5 linked regions of the Mus musculus genome follow. The protein of the gene in region 1 purifies or fractionates together with the protein of each later gene. This does not show direct contact. Links are inferred from orthologs where the notes say so. Each region holds a gene or a part of one and is shown on either strand. Other genes may lie near its edges.

Region 1 (3,516 bases):
AACCATTGATCCTTCTCTACTGGATGGATGGGTGGTGTATGACACATAGTATCATTTCTGGGTGCTCTCCTCCTCGATGCAGTCATCTCTTTTTTTTTTTTTTTTTTTTTTTTTGGTTTTTCAAGACAGGATTTCTGTGTAGCCTCGGCTGTCCTGGAACTCACTCTGTAGACCAGGCTGGCCTGGAACTCAGAAATCCGCCTGCCTCTGCCTCCCAAGTGCTCGGATTAAAGGCGTGTACCACCACCGCCCGGCTGCAGTCATCTTTCATTCCTGGAATGAAGTCTAAAATTGCTTGTAAAATGGAGTGTCATTATTAAAAACAAGCAAAACTGTTTATAAGTATATATTTCATATTTTACAGTACTGAGTAACAGTAGGACACGGCCTAATCTCAACAATAATGAGATTGTAACAAAGTAAACTCAACTTTTTTTTTTTTTTTTTTTTTTTTTTAAAGATTTATTTATTTACTATATGTAAGTACACTGTAGTTGTCTTCAGATACACCAGAAGAGGGCACCAGATCTCATTACGGGTGGTTGTGAGCCACCATGTGGTTGCTGGGATTTGAACTTCAGACCTTCGGAAGAGCAGTCGGGTGCCCTTACCCACTGAGCCATCTCACCAGCCCCTAAACTCAACTTTTGCCTAGGTTAAAATACTTAAATAAAAATGGAGACTTCTATTTTATGATGCTGTGGCTACTGACGTCACTGCCTGAGCCTGAGAAACGACTGAGTACACAAGTGGGAGTCCCTGAGATCCAGCGTAGGCTGAGTTGGGCGGTGATAGGCAGCTAGCAGGCATGTCACTGAAGTGCAGGAAGGGAAAGGCAGTTAGTCCTGTCTAGCAGAAGAGACACGAAGTGAGCCTTAGGAAGCAAGAGTGAATAAGAAATGATTGCTCTACATGATGGAAATATAATAACAGCTGATTGTGGTTTTTATTTTTAAAAATTAGGTTCTGGGAATTGTATGGTCCTATGCTTTTGAGGCAAGCACTTTACCTACTGAGCCATCTCTCCTGCCCAGAAAAAACAAATGTTGATAGTGGGCGTGTGCCAGTACTTCTGTCATTTCCTTCTCCGTTGGCCCTGCTGAGCGAGGGAGCACGGGAGGATTTTCTGCCGTGTAGTAGAGTGTTCTGGGTTTCTTCGCTCCCAGTGAACCATCGTTATTTTTTTGCTTACAGGAGCTGTTTTTGTATTGTAAATGCAGATCTTCCCTTTACCCAACATTTCCATGTTACCTCATTTATTCATTAAAAAGGAACAAAGTGATTTAATTAGATACTATATCTTTTCTAGGATATCAGGAACTTGCGATTTGCTCATAAACCGGAGGGGCGAACAAGAAGATCCATATTTGAGAATCTAATGAAATATGCATTTCCTGTGTCTAATGGCTTGGTAAATGTTTCTCTATAATCTGTATTGTAATTATTAGTGTGGACAGACTCAGCTAAGTTGTCCAGATTCTCCCTTTTCTGTTCCTGATTTGGCACTTAGATAGAGGTTATCTTGTGTCCAAGGTCCATTTCAGTAATGACATTCTATAAGTACATGTTGATTTCTTGGGAGGTGGAAAGAGTGAACTAGAGATTGAACCCAGGGCTTCACACATGCTAGGCAAGTGCTGTACCAGAGTGGTTTTCTTTATGTGTCTTTATTTGAGACAAGGCTGCTTCTCCTGCCACAGCTCCATGAGGTCTGGATTTCAGCCTGTATCACCATCTTGGCTTATGTAATATTTTTTATTGGATGTTTCTATGATAAAAGCTTTATGTAGTTTTCATTAGAGTTTGAAGTCTCCCTGGGTGGGAGCTGGCATTAGGACTAGGAGTTTGGGACAGTTACTAGTGAGTATTTTAGCTGTGCTAGATTCTCTCAACTGCATGATAGCATTTCACCTCCATGGCAGCCATATTCATTACCATGTTAGAGCCAGAATGGAGATGGCAGGGAATTGACCCAGCACTGGAATTAACACTGGATTCCTCACTTGAGTTGCAATTATTTTTTTAAACACCATAGTTTTTTTTCTAGTTACATGTTTAAAAAGCTTATATGCCAATGTATAAAAAGCTTGTTCAGTGTATTAGAGCATATAGTATGGACTTTAGAGCCACTACTGCTGCTTTCTAGTGTTGGACCAGTTATTTCTGTTGGAAAGCACCTTCTTGGAGATGCCATTCATTACTTAGAGTGAAACCTACAAAACGTACCAGAATATTTAAAAGAAATAGGTTAGCATTTGGTAAATTTTATAAGTGGGTCTTGTGTTTTCTTGTACTTTTTAAAGCATATAAAGATATTTAGTGTTGTAAATAAAATAGTAATTTCAGTCATAAAACTATTTAAAAGGGACAATAGAAAATATTCTTGCAAATAAGTAAATCAAAACAGAAGTATTGCAGGGACATATTTCTGATTCAATACTTTCTTTAATGTCCTTTTTAACTGCTGTTTATTTTGTAGCCTCTTTTTGCTTTTGAGTATAAAGAAGTATTCCCCGAAAATGGGTGGAAACTGTATGACCCCCTTCTAGAGTACAGAAGGCAGGTACGTGCTTTTCTCTTCAAGCTTTTGTGTTCTATGTTATTTTCATGACAGTTGATCAAAGTAAGGAGTTCTTTTCAGTGTCTCTTCGTTTTGTTTTAACTGGAAGCTAATCTGGTTTGGTGGGTTTCTTTTCATTTCCTTTGAGTTGCTTTTTAGAATACACTAGTGATCCTTTATGAGTCTTTATCTAGCTCATAAGTATCACTTTGTTTAAAAAAATGTTTGTTCACTATAAAGTTGAAAGTGGGATCAGTATGTGTAAACTTGTCGTAATATCATTCATTTCATTTTTTTCATTTTAGGCATTCTATAATTTATGAAATAAAACAGTAACTGTACTGCTTCTAATTTGAGTTCTATTCTTCACAGAGGATAGAGAGATGCATTCCCTTATGCTAAGGGCAGCATGTGACCTACCTTAGTTAGTACCCTTACTTTACTTCTTAACTTGGTGTCTGTGTGGGTGCTTGTAAGGATTGAGTTCATGGTTTCACCTGTGCTGGGCAAACTCTCCTACTGAGCTCTGTCTCCCTGCCACATATAGATCAAAGTTTAATTACTGTTGATGGCTTCTCAGATAGGTCCCACTCCATTTGGATGCATTTACATTTGATGAGTATTTATTAATGGCACATGTGGTTTTCTTTGTTGAGGCTCTTTCGTCTGTCTTTTTGAAGGAATCATCTGTTATTTCTTTGGTATTGTTACTGCCTGTGCTGCAGTAGGGAAGGTACTGACTAGTTTCTCACTGATGATGTCATCAGGATTAGCAGTGCCTGCTATGTCACAGACTGTGTCTGTTGAATGAGTGAGTGAAGGGAGGCTAAGAGAAGAATTTGCTTAGCGTGTGCTCTGTGTGTTACTAACATTTTGCATACTGGTTTTGTTTACTAAACCATGTGGTAAGCATGGTGTAAAGATACGAAATATCTGCATAGCATGGGTAAACTGAA
Region 2 (3,516 bases), on another chromosome or scaffold:
GAGGAAGCTTCTCTTGCTTGCTCTCATAGCTGTTTACAGTTGACCAGCTCTCAGTGCCCAGGATCCTCAGCTACTGCCTTGTTCCTTGCTGGGGCTGCATCCTCCACGGCTGGCTCTCATGACTTCTCCTTTTGATCTGTGTTCCTTTCTGCAGAAGGACACCAACGACTGGCTTTAGTAACCAGCACATTGACATCATCTCTAGTTAGCTTGATGTCTGCCATGTGGACACCTTCAAGGCCCTTTAAACTTTATGTCTAAAACTGAACTCAGGGATCTGCCCAGCATGTCTTCCGGCCAGATGCCTCTGTCTTCGTCCCGTTTGTCCACTTAGTTTTCCAGGAACGTTATAAACCCACGGACTGCCCCCCCAGCTTCGCCCCCGTGTGTTACTGGTGCTGTGTTTCTCTTTCTATGTTCCATTTCCTGGGCTCCAGCCACCTGAAATTACCTGGTCTTTTCACTCTCCCAACAGGGCTCTTCCCTCCTGCGTCACCTTCTTCATGCTCCTCCATGAACACGCTTCACCCCACCGCCTTGGCCTCTCTACCTCTTAGTTCTGAGGCACCTCACATTCCATATGCTTTATGTGTGATGGCCGTTTAATTACTGCCTGTCATCCTTACTAGGCCCCATAGGCTGACACCATTGTATGATTATCCCAGGAAGCATAAAATACTTTTGAATGTAAATGTCTACTGTTGAAGAAATGGATGAAGAGATACTAAAGGATTTTGTCTTTACTAGGATCTGCAATGCCATAACTAAAAGTCATCCACAGAGAAGTGATGTTTACAAGTCAGATTTGGATAAGGCTTTGCCCAACATCCAAGAAATACAAGCGGCATTTGTAAAACTTAAGCAACTGTGTGTAAATGGTAATGACATTTTTATTTTGTGCCTGTATCTATTTCTTTCTATCTATCTATCTATCTATCTATCTATCTATCTATCTATCTATCTATCTATCTATTATTTATCAATGAATGGTAATAAAAAATTATGTTGGAACAATCAGGAAAAGTGATGTTCCTTAAAAATATAGAAGATACATCTAAGGAGAGACTCAATCCCTAGAAAATGAAGTCTAAATTTCTCTTGGTTTTGGAGAGAAAAAAAAACAAACCTGTTAAATTCCCCCCAAATCCTGAAAGATATAGATACCTTAAAGAAGCGTTTGCTCAGCAGACAGATATAACTGAGATCCCAGTGCACACGCTTAATTTCAGGATGAGTGGCTCAGCTGAGTGTGTATTGTATGTGTGCCCTTAGAGTTCTGCCTCATAGACTCGGGGTTGCACTTTGCTCTGAGAAGATGTCTCATGGAAGCATCTTTGGAGTAGAAGGCCTGTGGAGCACTGGCTTTGTGGCAGGTCTTGGATGATGAGTAAGCCTTGTTATGGTAGGAGATCTTAGCAGTGTGTGGCCTTGAGTGGTTATGTGCACCCTGGGCAGGGCAGTGCTTGATCCAGGGCTACATGCACACAGAGATGACACTGGCAGCTGGGAAGGCGAAGAGACATCGGGAAGATGGGACCTGGGGCGGCAGGATTTCCTTGAAAATGCCAGAGGGTAGAAGACAAGACTTGAGGGAATGCTGTCTTCTGCTTCAATATAGCATGTGACCTTGGTGCAGTGGCCCATGTCTATGACTTCAGCATTTGAGAAGGTGAAGAAAGGGGACCCAGAGTTTTGAGTCCAGTCTAGGCTTCATGGCAAGGCACTGTCTTTAAAAAACCAAAAACAAGAATCATAAGCATGTCTTCCTAAGTGCTGACTGCAGTACAAGTGTGTGCTATTTCCTCAAAGCTAATTGTTTAATGTGTGTGGGACATTGCTTAACTCTGATGTTGACTGTATGAAGCTAAGCTTAACAGCACTGTTCTATGTAATGCAGAGCCTTTTGAAGAAACTGAAGAGAAATGGTTGTCTTCACTGGAAAGTACCCGGTGGTTAGAGTACGTCAGGTTTGTCGACTTTTCTTTTTTACTTTTTATTTTGAAATAATTACAAGCTCACATGAAGTAAAAGATAGTAGAGGTAGCCACGTGCCCTTCACCTAGCATCCCTCAGGGTAACCTTATCTAGCTGGAGGGCAGCATCCAGCCTGACCACCAATGTTGCCATCATCTGTAGATTTCATTAGCGCCCCCTTCAGCCTCTCCCCAGTCTTCCCCTGGATCCCTGCCCTCTGACAACCACTACTTCATCCTTGCCTCTGAAGCCGTGTTTCCTGAACATTATGTAAATCAGCCTGTTTTGTAATACGTGGTTGGTGAATTTCCCTGATACTATTCCCTAAAGAATCATCCTGTTAATACCAGAGAGAGCCATAAAAATCAAAAGTGTGTGCATAGAGGATGGGGAGCTTTGCTTGATTCTAAGCACGGTTAAAATATATTTATGCAGGTGGACAAGACGTCACAGCAGGCAAAGGCGTGCGTATGTGGCACAAGCTTGATATCTAACAGGGTTTTTTCCTTCTTTCTCTTCAGGGCTTTCCTTAAACACTCAGCAGAACTTGTGTACATTCTTGAAAGCCAGCGTCTCTCTGTAGTCCTGCAAGGTAATTAAAATCATTCCTGAGAATACTATAGGAGCCCACTGTGGCTCCTGGCTGTTCACATTAACATAAGTCTTAGCTGTCTCTTCTGCCACAGTGCTGCCGCACCACCCGGCACACTGCAGATTGTGACTGTGTCCTGTCACGCTGGACTCTCCCACTTAGTACGTCTTTCCTCTTTACTGGGAAAATGGGTCCCCATCCCTGACCTGACTGATATTCAATGTTAATTTGGACAAGGCATCCTCTCTAATCTTGCTATTTCTTATTCACATTAAATTGTGAACCTAAGGAAATAATTAGAAAGTACAAATTCAAATGAAATAGACAATGATTTTTCTCCTCTTTACAACTGAGTGCTCTCATCTTATTGGGAATGAGCCCCAGTTTCTCCATGCACACAGGCTTTGGGAGTACTGAGCCTGCTTTGCTAACACTTTAATGTGGTTTAACCCATTAGTTGGGGTATGATACATATTGAGCATACTGGTAACTTAGTAAATAGAAAGCCTCAGTATTTTGTTTGTGACTGTGGTCACACAAATGCAGTGTCGCCCAGGAGATCTGAGGAAAACCCTGAATGGTGGTTTTTGCCTTTCACGTTGGACAGGGCTTCTTTTGTTCATTGCTGTGCACAGCAGGCTAACTGGCCTGCAGGCTTCCAACCCTGCTGCTTCTGACTCATCTCTCAGTAGGGGAACACAGGAATTCACATGCCTGTCCTACCACTCTATCTGGCTTTTACATGGGTCCTAAGTACAAACTCACATCGTTCGTCTATACAGCAAGACCCTGGCCCACTGAGCCATCTTCCCAGCCCCAGTGATAGAAGTTTTCATCATTCTAAAGGTTGCTTTGTTTTAAGAGGTGATGGGGACAGTTGAGACAGGATTTCACTATATAATCTTGACTGGTTTGAAACTTGCTGTGTAGGCTAGGCTGGTCTTGAACTC
Region 3 (3,516 bases), on another chromosome or scaffold:
AGGTGATGGAGCAGCTTCCTGGTGTCTGTGGGGTATGACTTGTACCTGACAAGCATATTTGACGGAGGACACTGGCCCAGTGAGAGGGAGTTTCTCCCCAGGACTGCAACTGTCCGCAGTGAGGACACTCACCTCCTCTTTGTCACTCTGGTGGAGATGGTTACAGCGGTCCAAGAAAGAGTGGCCACCCATGACCCATTCCTTTTGGATGAGGCTCTGGAATCCAGTCCTGGTTCGACAGTGGGCGTCCATCATCACTTGCACCAGAGAGGAGAGGAGGCAGCAGAGATCAGAAGCATTCTCTTCTACAAGGAGGAGGAGGGCAGAGTGTTAAAGAGGCAGTGTTCTCATCCCACACAGCTAACAGGGTTCCTAAGAGCAAGATCGGTTATTACTTCCTATAGACAAGGGCCAGTTGGGGAGACAGGCTGCTTGTGGCTTATCAGGACAGGTCCCAGCACACAGGGGTGGTAAGCATAGATCTGCTTACTGAACAAAGGCAGCCCTGAAAAATCAACTTTTAGCACACAGCGCCTGTAGATGCCATAAAAGAGAACAGTAACAGCTATGCACCAATAGCCTGCCTAACTGCAGACGGGGCCTACCTCCCTTCCTCTGGGGGAGAGTCACCTTTCACTGCTCCAGATGCCGGCCCTTGTCTTCCACTTCCTATCCTTCTTGGATTGCTTTACACTACAGAACTTTTCAGCCATGAGTCTCTTTCCTGTTCTGTCTGAGGAACACAGAGGCGCCTGCTTCTCCTTGTCAAGCCTACAGGAGGAATTCTTGATATTCCTCCACATGCCCACCTGGAATGCACTTCATACAATCTACAAGGCTAAAGTCTATTCACAGAGTTACCTAGCACAGCTGACTTAGAGCAAAGGCAAATACATCCACAGTCATGCTAAAGCCAGGTCTACATTTCCCATGCTTCCTATTTATTCCCCCTTTCCAAAAAGGTCCAACTCATACTGCTTTTTAAAAATGTCCTCAAGGAAGATGGTGAGAGTATCATTCAGGTTAGAGAACTAGACCTAGAGATATAATCATGCTGTTAGCACTCTTCCTTCCCGTACCCTAGAATTACAATGCCCTAAATCTCAGGCTTACACTCATCTCTAACAACCATGCAAACACCTGGGGTTAATAGAAACAGTCTCATGAATATAAGCATGTGTGTGTGTGAACCTGCATGTGTGCAGGTACATGTGGAGGCCAGGCCAAAGGACAATTCTGTGTGCTGTTCCTTGAGTACCGTCTACCTTCTTCCTGCCCTCCAAGACAGGCCTTTCACTGGCCTTGAACTTAGGGTTAGGCTGGCCTGCCTTTCCAATGAGCACCAGGGCTCCTGTTTCCTCCTCCCTGGGCTGGGGTTATAAGCACATGCTCCCACGCCTGCCTGTCTGCTGTCTGTTTTCCAAAGCTACTGGCGGACTCATCTTCTCTGCCCAAGAGACAGATGTTTTTATCTGACCTCTAACGCGTCAGTCTTTGACAGTTCCATCTTGAAGGCAATGGCATACCTCTGGGGACATCTCACTTCCATCAGAACCAAACTGCACACACTGCACAGCTCTAGAGTTGGTCCTGGGCTCTCCCGCCTGAGTTCTCATTCCTTTTTACTAGCTATTTGAAACTTAAATACTACTCTTCTGTGTCCGTGTAAGAATATGCTTAAGGTGGTGTTCCCATTAGTGTGCAAGTGTGTAGGGTAAAGCAGAGTGCTGCACACGGACGGTGCTTAGCACGGGCACTCAGGGCTAAGGCATTAGTACCGGGTGGTCTAGAAACCACGAAGAGGAATATCTTCCAATTTGCTTTCCCTTCTATGGCAACTGCATCAAGCTGCCAGCACACAGACAGGAACAGTCATCTAAGCAGCTACAAGTCCCCCGGGGAAAAGGGTGTCCCAAAGACTGTTGGGTAAAGACACGGAACAATTCCTTCTTGGGCTGTGAGCAGGTCTGCCGAGTTCCACGTACACTGCGCCACTGAGATCTGAGCAAAGGATTATAGGTGAAGGAAACGGGGGTGGCGGGGAAGGAAACTAATCCGCTCTGCCAACCATACACACAAAAGCTGACTCTTGGTGAATGGGGTTGGAAACCTTATTACCCAACAGGAGGACGTTCACGTTCTGCGCTTCCAGGCATTCCGTAATCTCGATTGCTTTCTTCAGGCAGCGTCTACACAAGGAAGAGAAGGGAGCAGGAGCGTTAGTTACTGAGCTTGCTGCTATAAGCAGGACGTTTAGAGGTGGTTTGAATTACGGATATACACTAGTACACACAAACATACACACACACACACACACACACACACACACACACACACATTTATTCTAAGGGATAAAAGCAGTATCCTAGATATCCACACTCTTACATGCACTGCAATGTTCTCATAGTCATCAAAACATGGAAGCAATCTAGGAGTTCACTGACAACAGAACAACTTTGTGTGTACATGTGTGTGTTGGGATATTATTCCGCAGTAGAAAAGGGCATTCTATCACTGCAGCAATATGGGAAGAACTTGAACGAAAGACAGGTGCAGAAAGGCAAATGCTGCATAATTGCACAACGAGAGCCTACAAACGTCCAAGTCCGATCTGCCAGAGTGGAATGGTAGTCCCCAACAGACAGGCAGTGGTAGAACTGGGGAGATCAGGGTACAGCACAGATGCAAGGAAGCGCTGAGCTGTGGCTGTGGTGCCATCACACAGAGCCATGTGAACAGATTTCCACACCGTGCTCCTCACTGGGGTGTAGTCCAGGTACAGTGCTCACATGTGGAACTAGGTCCCATCTCTAGCACCACCAACAAACATGTAACGTCAATGTATAAACTCTTTGTCAATTAAATATTTATGAAACCCACCAAGAACTGCAAGTTTTCATAAGGGAGTCATAAAATCAATGTAAAGATGATCCCAGTTACATTTTCTTTTGTATTGGAATTTTTAGTTAGTATACCAAATAATGGAAATGTTTCTTGGCCATATTCATCCTCCATGCTACCCCCCACCCCTCTCCCATCTTTCCTGGTCTCCTCATGCCCCAAACAGTCACTCTTCCATGCTCATGGGAGGGGGTCAGTGAGAGGGTAAGAAAAATGATATCTAGATTCAGTTTGAGAAAATGTACCTTACTTTGTTCCCCTAACTCTTGTCTATTGTTATTTCAGAGCCACACCCTCCCTTCATGGTCTCCCCTCTACCTTTTTCTTCTTCTTTTCTTAAAATCTGTGTGAAAAGGTCTCATGCAGCCATCTTCTTACTACCCATCACTACTTCAAACTGCTGGGTTTCTTTTTGTTTGTTTGAGACAAGGTTTTTCTGTGTAGCCCTGGCTATCTTAGGACTCCATCTGTAGACTGGGCTGTCCTCAAACTCAGAGTCTCTTGAGAACTGGGATAAAAAAGCATATGTTCCCACCTCCCAGCTAATTATTTTTTATTAGATATTTTCTTTATTTACATTTCAAATGTTATCCCCTTTCCTGGTTTCCCCTATGC
Region 4 (3,424 bases), on another chromosome or scaffold:
TTAAAATACTTCGTCATTTCTTCTTATTCCAAAGTAATACATGGTTATTGTGCCAAACTTAAACATCTCCAAGAGCTGGCAGCTGGGAGCTCTCTGTAATGTCCCTCAGTGCCATTTTAGACTGCATTCTCCTTCCAACTTCCTGTTGCTTGGGAAGCCTTCCTTGTCCTTTGTCCATCCCAGTGCCATGCTGTCACTTAGCCAGTGCTCAGTGGCGGAGTAAAGACGGCACTCATGTCACTTCCTTGGTTGGGTCAGGCTGGGGAGACTCCAGCCGTCTAGCTCAGTGGCGTTTCAAGCCCTCTGTGACTTGCTGGTGAGTCCTTTGACCTTTTCAACTAGATTGAAAGCAGCATCCAGGAATTCCTTTTTGTTGTTTGTTTTGTTTTTTGAGACGGTTTCTCTGTGTAACACTTTGAGGTTCAGGCTGGCCTTGAACTCACAGAGATCTGCTGCCTCTCCTTCCAGGTGCTGGGATTAAAGGTGTGTACAAGAGGCAGCCTGCGTTGTTAATGCTAGAGTATTCTTCCATGCAGAGTCAGCACCAACAAGCAAGGTGCAGAGGATGTGGTCAGATGTGTCTGGAAAGCCGGGTCATTTCCCCTTACTGTGTCCTGTCTGTCTCTTTTTGGTCCTAGCTGCGATACTATGATTCGGGGGAAGACACGAGTTGTAAAGGCCACATTGATCTGGCTGAAGTAGAAATGGTTATCCCTGCCGGCCCCAGCATGGGAGCCCCAAAGTATACAAGTGACAAGGCTTTCTTTGATGTAAGTTCCTCTTTCCTGTTCTTTCTGCATGTCTCTCCATGACCTCCAAACATTATAGGGCCCCCAAGGAGTTGGTAGTCAATAAAAAGGAGTGTTTAATTAAAGCTGTGGGTGAGTGGCTAATGAATCCCCATGACTACCTTTCACACTGAGCAGCACTGTCCCCTCCTCTGCCTCTGCTACAGCACTGTCACTGCCCATAGTCACTGGAGTGGGGAAAGGACCTCTTCCCGGAATTGCCTTTAATAAAGGAGCTGGGCATGGATGGCGCGGGGTCCCAGGACCAGCTGGTGCCTCTGGCCTCTTACACAGCACCAAAGCAAGAACAGTATGCCAGAGCTCTCAGGGGAACTGTGCCACCCCCTTTTTTCATATGGAGCCATAGTAGAAACCCTGAGCCAGGGAACAGCATCATAGCCTGTAGAGGGATGGAGAATGTAATCTACTTTATGAAACTGTCTTCATTTTAAGGACTACTTAAATTATTAGTCAGGGACTAATTAATTATAAGTCATCTGTTTGCATAGCCCTTAAAGTACCCCCAAACCCAATGTTAGAACCGGCCGTTCTGTCTGTCCAGGATGGGATTAGTTTGTTACTCACCCAAAGCCAAAAGAACAGTCCTGCTTTATGTCTACCCTTCTGTCGCTTGTTTCTGTAGCTCAAGACCAGCAAGCGAGTGTATAACTTCTGTGCCCAGGATGGGCAGAGCGCCCAGCAATGGATGGACAGGATCCAGAGCTGCATCTCTGATGCCTGATGCCCAGGATCAGACAAGCACGAAAGGTAGAGGAACTCACTCATCTGCCTGACAGGGCGATGACGGTCATCCCAGGGCCTGAGGTTCTGCTTACCTTGTCCCCTCTGGAAGCAGTTGGCATGTCACACAGGTCTGGGTGGGAGCCCTGGCCCTCCCTCTCCCTGCAGCATTCCAACAGGATTGAAGTGGAGAGGGTGCCTCTGGACCTGCTGCTGTCATGTAGGCAAGGTGGCTCCCACCTGAGTCCTCCTCCATGAAGACTGTTCTCCAAAGCCATAACTTCAACAACTTGGACCACAGAAATCCAAACCTTCAAAGGTCGCTGTACACCGACCGCATAGGTGTCCCATCAGACACACCTCCTCCTACTGCCTGATCCTTGAGATGTCGGTTCCCTGGTGCTGCCAAAGGTGCTTTCATGGTTCCTGCCCGGGAGCTTCGCAGCAGGAGACGTCACTACTCAGTGGCAGGCAGAGGAGGTTAACAATAGCACAGAATGACCTGGGCCAGTGCAGGAAACACTGCTTCAAACCACGAGTCTCTGAGGACACAGTGCCTGGGTCCTGCGTTCTCTCCTGTTCCCCACAGCTTTCTGTGAAGTAACAAGCGTGCGAGCCCACAGAACACTAGCACTGAACTAACCAGGGAGCCATTGGACAAACTGAGACACATGGGACAGGCCAGCACACAGGGGACAGGCCAGCTAACCAGACAGCACTGCTTGTGAGAAGAACTGCTCCTAAGGTCTCCCAGTTACCATAACCTTGTTTGCTCCAGCCTCAAACTCAAGGATGCTTCTCATCTGTGGTGGGCCTGAGCGGCCACCGCTGCCACCGGGCCCTAGCAACTTGGTCAGTGTGTGTGTTTTGAAATGTTAATATGTTAAATACCAAACTAATATTTCAAAATATGTATATATGATTTCTATATCCTGATTTTTCAGATAGCCTGCTTATAATTTAAAATAAAAATAACTAAACTGATTCATAAGATTTTAGTAATAAAAGGTTGTTTCCTTTTTAAATAATAAAAACTACTTTGTAGATTAAAAATAAATCAAATTTTCAAATTAAAAATTATCAACACACTAGAAAATAGAACTGTATTAATATATAAGAAATTGGGAAATAAAAATGAAGGAGTTTTTTATCATATTCATTTTATAAATTTGCCACCTGTGAAATGGTTTTTGCACATTACTTGTATTTTCTTTGTATATGAAATAATTTTTGTACTTTGTAGACTCTGGAGCCCACTGTCCTCTCGGCTCTTTGAAGCTGTGCCCACTACTGCTTTTGTAACTGGAGTCTTTTAACTTCCATGACGGCACCGCCTGCCGTATGTTCACTAACCACCCAGAATTAAATTTATTTCTTAAGAAAAAGAACCTCTGAGTGCTGTGATGTCAGGTTGGCTCTGCACTGTGCAGTACTCAGGAGCGGCATGGGGCCAAGGCTCCATCTAAACTGTGACCATTTGGGCCTCGGAAGCACAGAGATGCTGGGGTGTGGCCGTGAGCTTCTGGGTTCTGATCCAGCCCTGCGGCATCTGGGGAAAGTCTCAGGCGTCCTCTCTGCACCCCTAGTAAGCTGTTCCAGGTGCCAAGCTCCTGCCTCTCCTGGGCCACCGTTTCCCCTGGCGAGTGGCAGATTATATTGATTTCAGGCAGAAGACACTGAAGTCTTCCTGGGTCATAGACTTTTTTGGGTTGAGGAGTTGGTTTCTGCAGGGGATATTGTCCATCATCTTTGGAGTTTACCTCACACAGCTTTAAGGAATGCTGGTCCTTATGTCAGGCAGGAGCTTCAGCTGGGGGCTCACAGGCCTCCTCAGTGGCCAGCCTGGGGGCTGAGCGGGTCTGCTCATAGCATTGAGCCGCTCTCCATAGCTGCAG
Region 5 (4,165 bases), on another chromosome or scaffold:
TGCACAGAACTTTCCTAGGACAGTCTTTTCCTCTTCCCCTCTTTTATTTATTTTTATTTTATCTTATTTTTTTCAAGACAGGGCTTCCTGGCTGTTCTGGAACTAGCTCCGTAGACCAGGCTGGCTTCAAACTCCATCTGCTTCTGACTCCCAAGCGCTTTAATTAAAGGCGTGCGCTGCCACCACCACCATGACCACCAAGCTCATCCCCCTCTCTTAAAAAAGACATTTTCACTTTATGTGTATGGGTGTTTTCCCTGCATGTATGTCCACGCACCACCACAAACACGTTCCGGAGGCCAGAAGGGGGCGACAGATCCCCCTGGACCCAGAATTGCAGGCGAGGGTGCTGCAAATCCAGCACAGATTCCCATAACCTCTAAACTATCTCTCCAGAAAGGCCCTTATATCTCCTGTTTTTTGGACACATGGTTTCCTGATGAAGCCAAGGAGACTGGACTGGAATTCATGAACGACCTGCTTCAGCTTCTCAAGGGCCGAGACTCTTTATACACGTACACTGACGACTGGACTCGTCTCTCCTGAGATTGCTTTCATTCATTCTCCAGATCTTGCAGGTGGAGGGAACACGATGCTAATAGGTGGCTTGTCTTTCAGTTCTCACAGAAAACTAAACTCATCAACAAGCAAGCCTAGTCCTCCCCCTTTAATCTCCTGGTCAAGGACCTTGCCTCTCCTACAAGTGTCCATTCCTGTATTACTGCAAGAGGCCTGGCCAACCCCCTGACCTCCAGGGCGATCCAACTTCGCAGGAAGGTGACTCAAGCTGGAACTTTTTTTTTTTTTTTTTTAAATGCAGGTGTTGGATATCCCATCCATCCAATGGTGAAATATCTAGCTGCCCCTTTTTGCACTAGGAACTTAAAAAAAAAAAGCCTGTAAAGTCTTTCCCTTGGCCACCATAAGATTGGCAGGGTGAGTGGCGAAGCCATGACACTCCTCCATCCCCCAGCTCGGTCCTCTAGTTTGGGAGACTGGCTGGACAAGGCCTGAGCTCCACTGGTTTGCTTCAGGCAGACTGAGCTGGACCACGCCCCTGACCCTCGGAGTTAGGCTCTCCCAAGGGTGAGGTCCAGGTCTCCCTTCATTCCGGGGCTTCAGTTCCGACGGGGAAGTATGCCCTAATCCTGACCGGTGGTGCTTCAGGTCGAAATGTCGGCCGCGGGACCAGGGTAGCTGACCCGCCCCGGCCGCCGTAAGCTTCACCCGCCCAAAGGGTTGAGCCGGTCCTTGAGCATGAGGTAGTAGGCGGGGCAGCGCCCTCTGGACCCGCCCCATGCGGAGTGGCCCAATGGAAGCGCACTGTGCCAGGTCCCGCCTACACGGGAGGGGCAGAACTGCGCAGGCTCCTGAAGCGCCCGGGCGGGCCGGCTGGCTGGGAAGATGGCGGCGGAAGCCCTGGTCAGCGGCGCCGCAGAGGAGCGGGCCCGGGGTGTCCCAAGTGTGCAGCTTAGGGCCAGCGCCGGGCCATGAGCGCGCCGCCATCGAACCCTCGAGCCGTGGAGCCCGCCTGCGCCCCTTGCCATGGCGCGGCTCGCGGACTACTTCGTGCTGGTGGCGTTCGGGCCGCACCCGCGCGGTGAGTCTCAGCGCCGAGGGGGACGAGCTGGGGGGGACTGAGGGACTGGGACTGAGGACTCGAAGCTAAGAAGACCCGGCCGGAGGCAGGGTCAGGAGTTGGGGCCGAGCTCTCGGGGCTCTCGAAAAGAGGCCTCCGTAGTTATTGGCCACGGTGGCGTCGGGGCAACCCGCGAGGACCCCGGACGACATGGCCTGTGTAAGAAACATCCCTCCTACACCTGGGCACCTGCGTCGCTGTTCCGAGGTGGGCAGGGGCGTGTCGCTCGGGCGTGGGAGGCTGGAGGACCCTGCTGCAGTTCGGTCTCCCCGATTCCAAGTTGGGTGGGATGGGCTCACCCCGCCTTGGCCGCCTGCCGGTGGCTGGGTCTGGGAATTTCAGAGAGGGGGGCGGAACGTTTTCGTCTTCCAGCTTCTCTGACCCAGTGCTAGGTCTGAAGCCTCAAGCACCGCTTGATGGGGTGCAGTGGAGGGGGAGGGGTTCGTCGGTGGTATGGAGCCGGACTTCAGACGAAAGTGTCACACTTGGAGGAGAGCATTCCTGGTGTTCAAGCCTCTAAGCCAGGCCCCTCAGCGGGGGATCAGTGTGGTGATCTAGGAGGCCCTGATCTGGAGTCAGCACCTGTGTCTGAGAGCCCTTCAGTCCTGGGGGTAGGAGAAAACGGAGCCTGACAGTGACATCAACCACAGCCATGGAGACAACAGTGTTGGGGGGTGTTGGCTGGAGTCCTCAGTGTGCCAGGCCCTGCACAACCCTTTGTGTGTATGATCTCATTTCTCCCAATAGCCCACTGAGATTGCCTTGCTGTTGCCCTATCTTCAGCATAGAATCTGGCATAGAGAAGTTGAGTGTGTGGGTCTGGAATGGAGGCTGGGACTTGTACTCTGGCTGTCAGAGTCCACCTGCAGAGGGGCGGTATCTTAGGGACAACTGTGGCCAGATGAGGTAGCCCCTTAATCCCTAGATGTAATGCTTCCTACCGTGTTCCAGTTATCTATTCCACACAGTTATTCTGCTGCTTCTCAGACCAGCTGTCACTGTCACCATTCAGGACCCAAACTTTCTTCTTTGCCTTTCTTCTTGCTAAGTCTCCACTAGGACTGTTCCTTTGTTTAATGTCCACATGATGGACCCTGTATGCACTGGAAAACACCACCACCACCACCACCACCACCACCACCACCTCTGTCTTCAGATCTGTTCAGTACCCTCGCTTCTTTCTGCTCTCATGTATTCAAGTCTATATCTTTTGGCACTCAGTCCCGAGCATCTGTCTTTCCCTCCAAAGAGGGAGTTCTCAAAGGCAGAGACCACATTGTGTTCATCCCCCTGTCCTCCTTGAGCAGGAGGCTTGCCACCAGTGTTGTACTGGCACACACAGGGAGAACCTGTGCTCCAAGGCATAAGTGAAGGCCAGTGAGGTGCCTCCTCTGGAACGGAGGAGGAGTACTGCTGGAGAGTGAGGAAACCAAGCTGGCTGAGGGCTGGCTGGGGTCTCGGGCTGGGCGCTGGGCCAGGGCTGGAGGAATGGAATGGACTTGGATGGTGGTGAGAAGGTTATGAAGAAGGTCCTGTGAAACAGAATGTAGGTAAAGGCCAGGTTGGGGAGGTCTGCTGGGAGTGGAGTAAAATTGAGGGTGATGTGTGGGTAGCTCCATGGGAAGTTGCTGTGGCACGTGGGGGCTTACTGATACAGCTGTACAAGAGGTGTGGACCTCTGACCTCTGTACAGGACGGGATAGAAGGCTGAGGCCAGAGGTGGCTACTTTTCCTGAATCACCGGTGTGATGGAGTAATTCTCAGATTACCCATCACTGTGGCGACTGCAGGCCAGTGAGCTCTCTAAGCACTGCCTTCTAGGGTCAGAGTTGACTGGTTGTTGGCTGACCACTCGGCTTCAAGGCATTCCTTTGAGGAACCAGCCTGGAATCGGGTTTCTGGGTGTGGGCTGAAGGCAGATCTATAAGGCAAGGGATGTGAGTACCAAGAACAAAAGACCCCAAACTGAGGAGCACACTGAAGATTAGTTGTCCTTCCTTTGTCACTCTTCACCGTTGGCTTGCGCCAGTTACCGTGCACTCTCGCCTCAGTTTCCCCGTCTTTATATGGAATGGGCCACATGGAGCTGCTCTGAGGCTGTCAGGAACACTTATGCGTAAAGATATAGCACAGGACTGGCCCAAGGAGATAATTTACATCTCAGATCTGAGTAGCCGATGTAAGAACGCTAGGTAGGTGTTTCTGAAGAAGGTGAAGGGCCCTCTGTGTGCTGACTGACCTAGGATGCAGGGTCCTTTAGATTAAGGGAATACGCGTGAGAGGATATCTCAGTTTTGTTCTGAATCAGAACTTTTTCTCTGCAGCTGCTAGGAGTCAAACCTTGGTAATGAATGCCTTTTTAGAGAGGTAGCATTCTGGTTGCTAATGGTTACAGTTGGTGACTTGTGGGCAAGGCTACAGACAATAAATGCCTGAGCTGTGTGTAACCCTTTCCCTTAAGACTCTATAAAGTAGAGGGTGTAGATGGCACAGCATAGACCCCGCACCTGGTGAGTAGGGCTGTGT

Evidence for each region.
Region 2: the proteins of Mtmr2 (region 1) and Mtmr10 purify together in Homo sapiens (affinity purification with mass spectrometry; 5 studies listed by BioGRID and IntAct, with this or other methods). This does not show direct contact. The link is inferred for Mus musculus from reciprocal best matches to the Homo sapiens genes MTMR2 and MTMR10.
Region 3: the proteins of Mtmr2 (region 1) and Mtmr12 purify together in Homo sapiens (affinity purification with mass spectrometry; 5 studies listed by BioGRID and IntAct, with this or other methods). This does not show direct contact. The link is inferred for Mus musculus from reciprocal best matches to the Homo sapiens genes MTMR2 and MTMR12.
Region 4: the proteins of Mtmr2 (region 1) and Sbf2 purify together in Homo sapiens (affinity purification with mass spectrometry; 3 studies listed by BioGRID and IntAct, with this or other methods). This does not show direct contact. The link is inferred for Mus musculus from reciprocal best matches to the Homo sapiens genes MTMR2 and SBF2.
Region 5: the proteins of Mtmr2 (region 1) and Sbf1 purify together in Homo sapiens (affinity purification with mass spectrometry; 6 studies listed by BioGRID and IntAct, with this or other methods). This does not show direct contact. The link is inferred for Mus musculus from reciprocal best matches to the Homo sapiens genes MTMR2 and SBF1.

What each region holds. Positions count from the first base shown.
Region 1 is NC_000075.6:13,790,670-13,794,185, forward strand, and holds part of Mtmr2 (myotubularin-related protein 2), read left to right. Parts: intron 1-1,309; coding exon 1,310-1,411; intron 1,412-2,479; coding exon 2,480-2,563; intron 2,564-3,516. UniProt on the Homo sapiens protein: Lipid phosphatase that specifically dephosphorylates the D-3 position of phosphatidylinositol 3-phosphate and phosphatidylinositol 3,5-bisphosphate, generating phosphatidylinositol and phosphatidylinositol 5-phosphate.
Region 2 is NC_000073.6:64,318,668-64,322,183, forward strand, and holds part of Mtmr10 (myotubularin-related protein 10), read left to right. Parts: intron 1-747; coding exon 748-878; intron 879-1,897; coding exon 1,898-1,967; intron 1,968-2,495; coding exon 2,496-2,566; intron 2,567-3,516.
Region 3 is NC_000081.6:12,260,514-12,264,029, reverse strand, and holds part of Mtmr12 (myotubularin-related protein 12), read right to left. Parts: intron 2,190-3,516; coding exon 2,119-2,189; intron 306-2,118; coding exon 133-305; intron 1-132. UniProt on the Homo sapiens protein: Acts as an adapter for the myotubularin-related phosphatases. Regulates phosphatase MTM1 protein stability and possibly its intracellular location. By stabilizing MTM1 protein levels, required for skeletal muscle maintenance but not for myogenesis.
Region 4 is NC_000073.6:110,307,504-110,310,927, reverse strand, and holds the end of Sbf2 (myotubularin-related protein 13), read left to right. Parts: intron 1-638; coding exon 639-770; intron 771-1,431; coding exon 1,432-1,530; 3' UTR 1,531-2,915; downstream 2,916-3,424. UniProt on the Homo sapiens protein: Guanine nucleotide exchange factor (GEF) which activates RAB21 and possibly RAB28. Promotes the exchange of GDP to GTP, converting inactive GDP-bound Rab proteins into their active GTP-bound form.
Region 5 is NC_000081.6:89,312,497-89,316,661, reverse strand, and holds the start of Sbf1 (myotubularin-related protein 5), read left to right. Parts: upstream 1-1,350; 5' UTR 1,351-1,545; coding exon 1,546-1,600; intron 1,601-4,165. UniProt on the Homo sapiens protein: Acts as an adapter for the phosphatase MTMR2 to regulate MTMR2 catalytic activity and subcellular location. Promotes the exchange of GDP to GTP, converting inactive GDP-bound Rab proteins into their active GTP-bound form.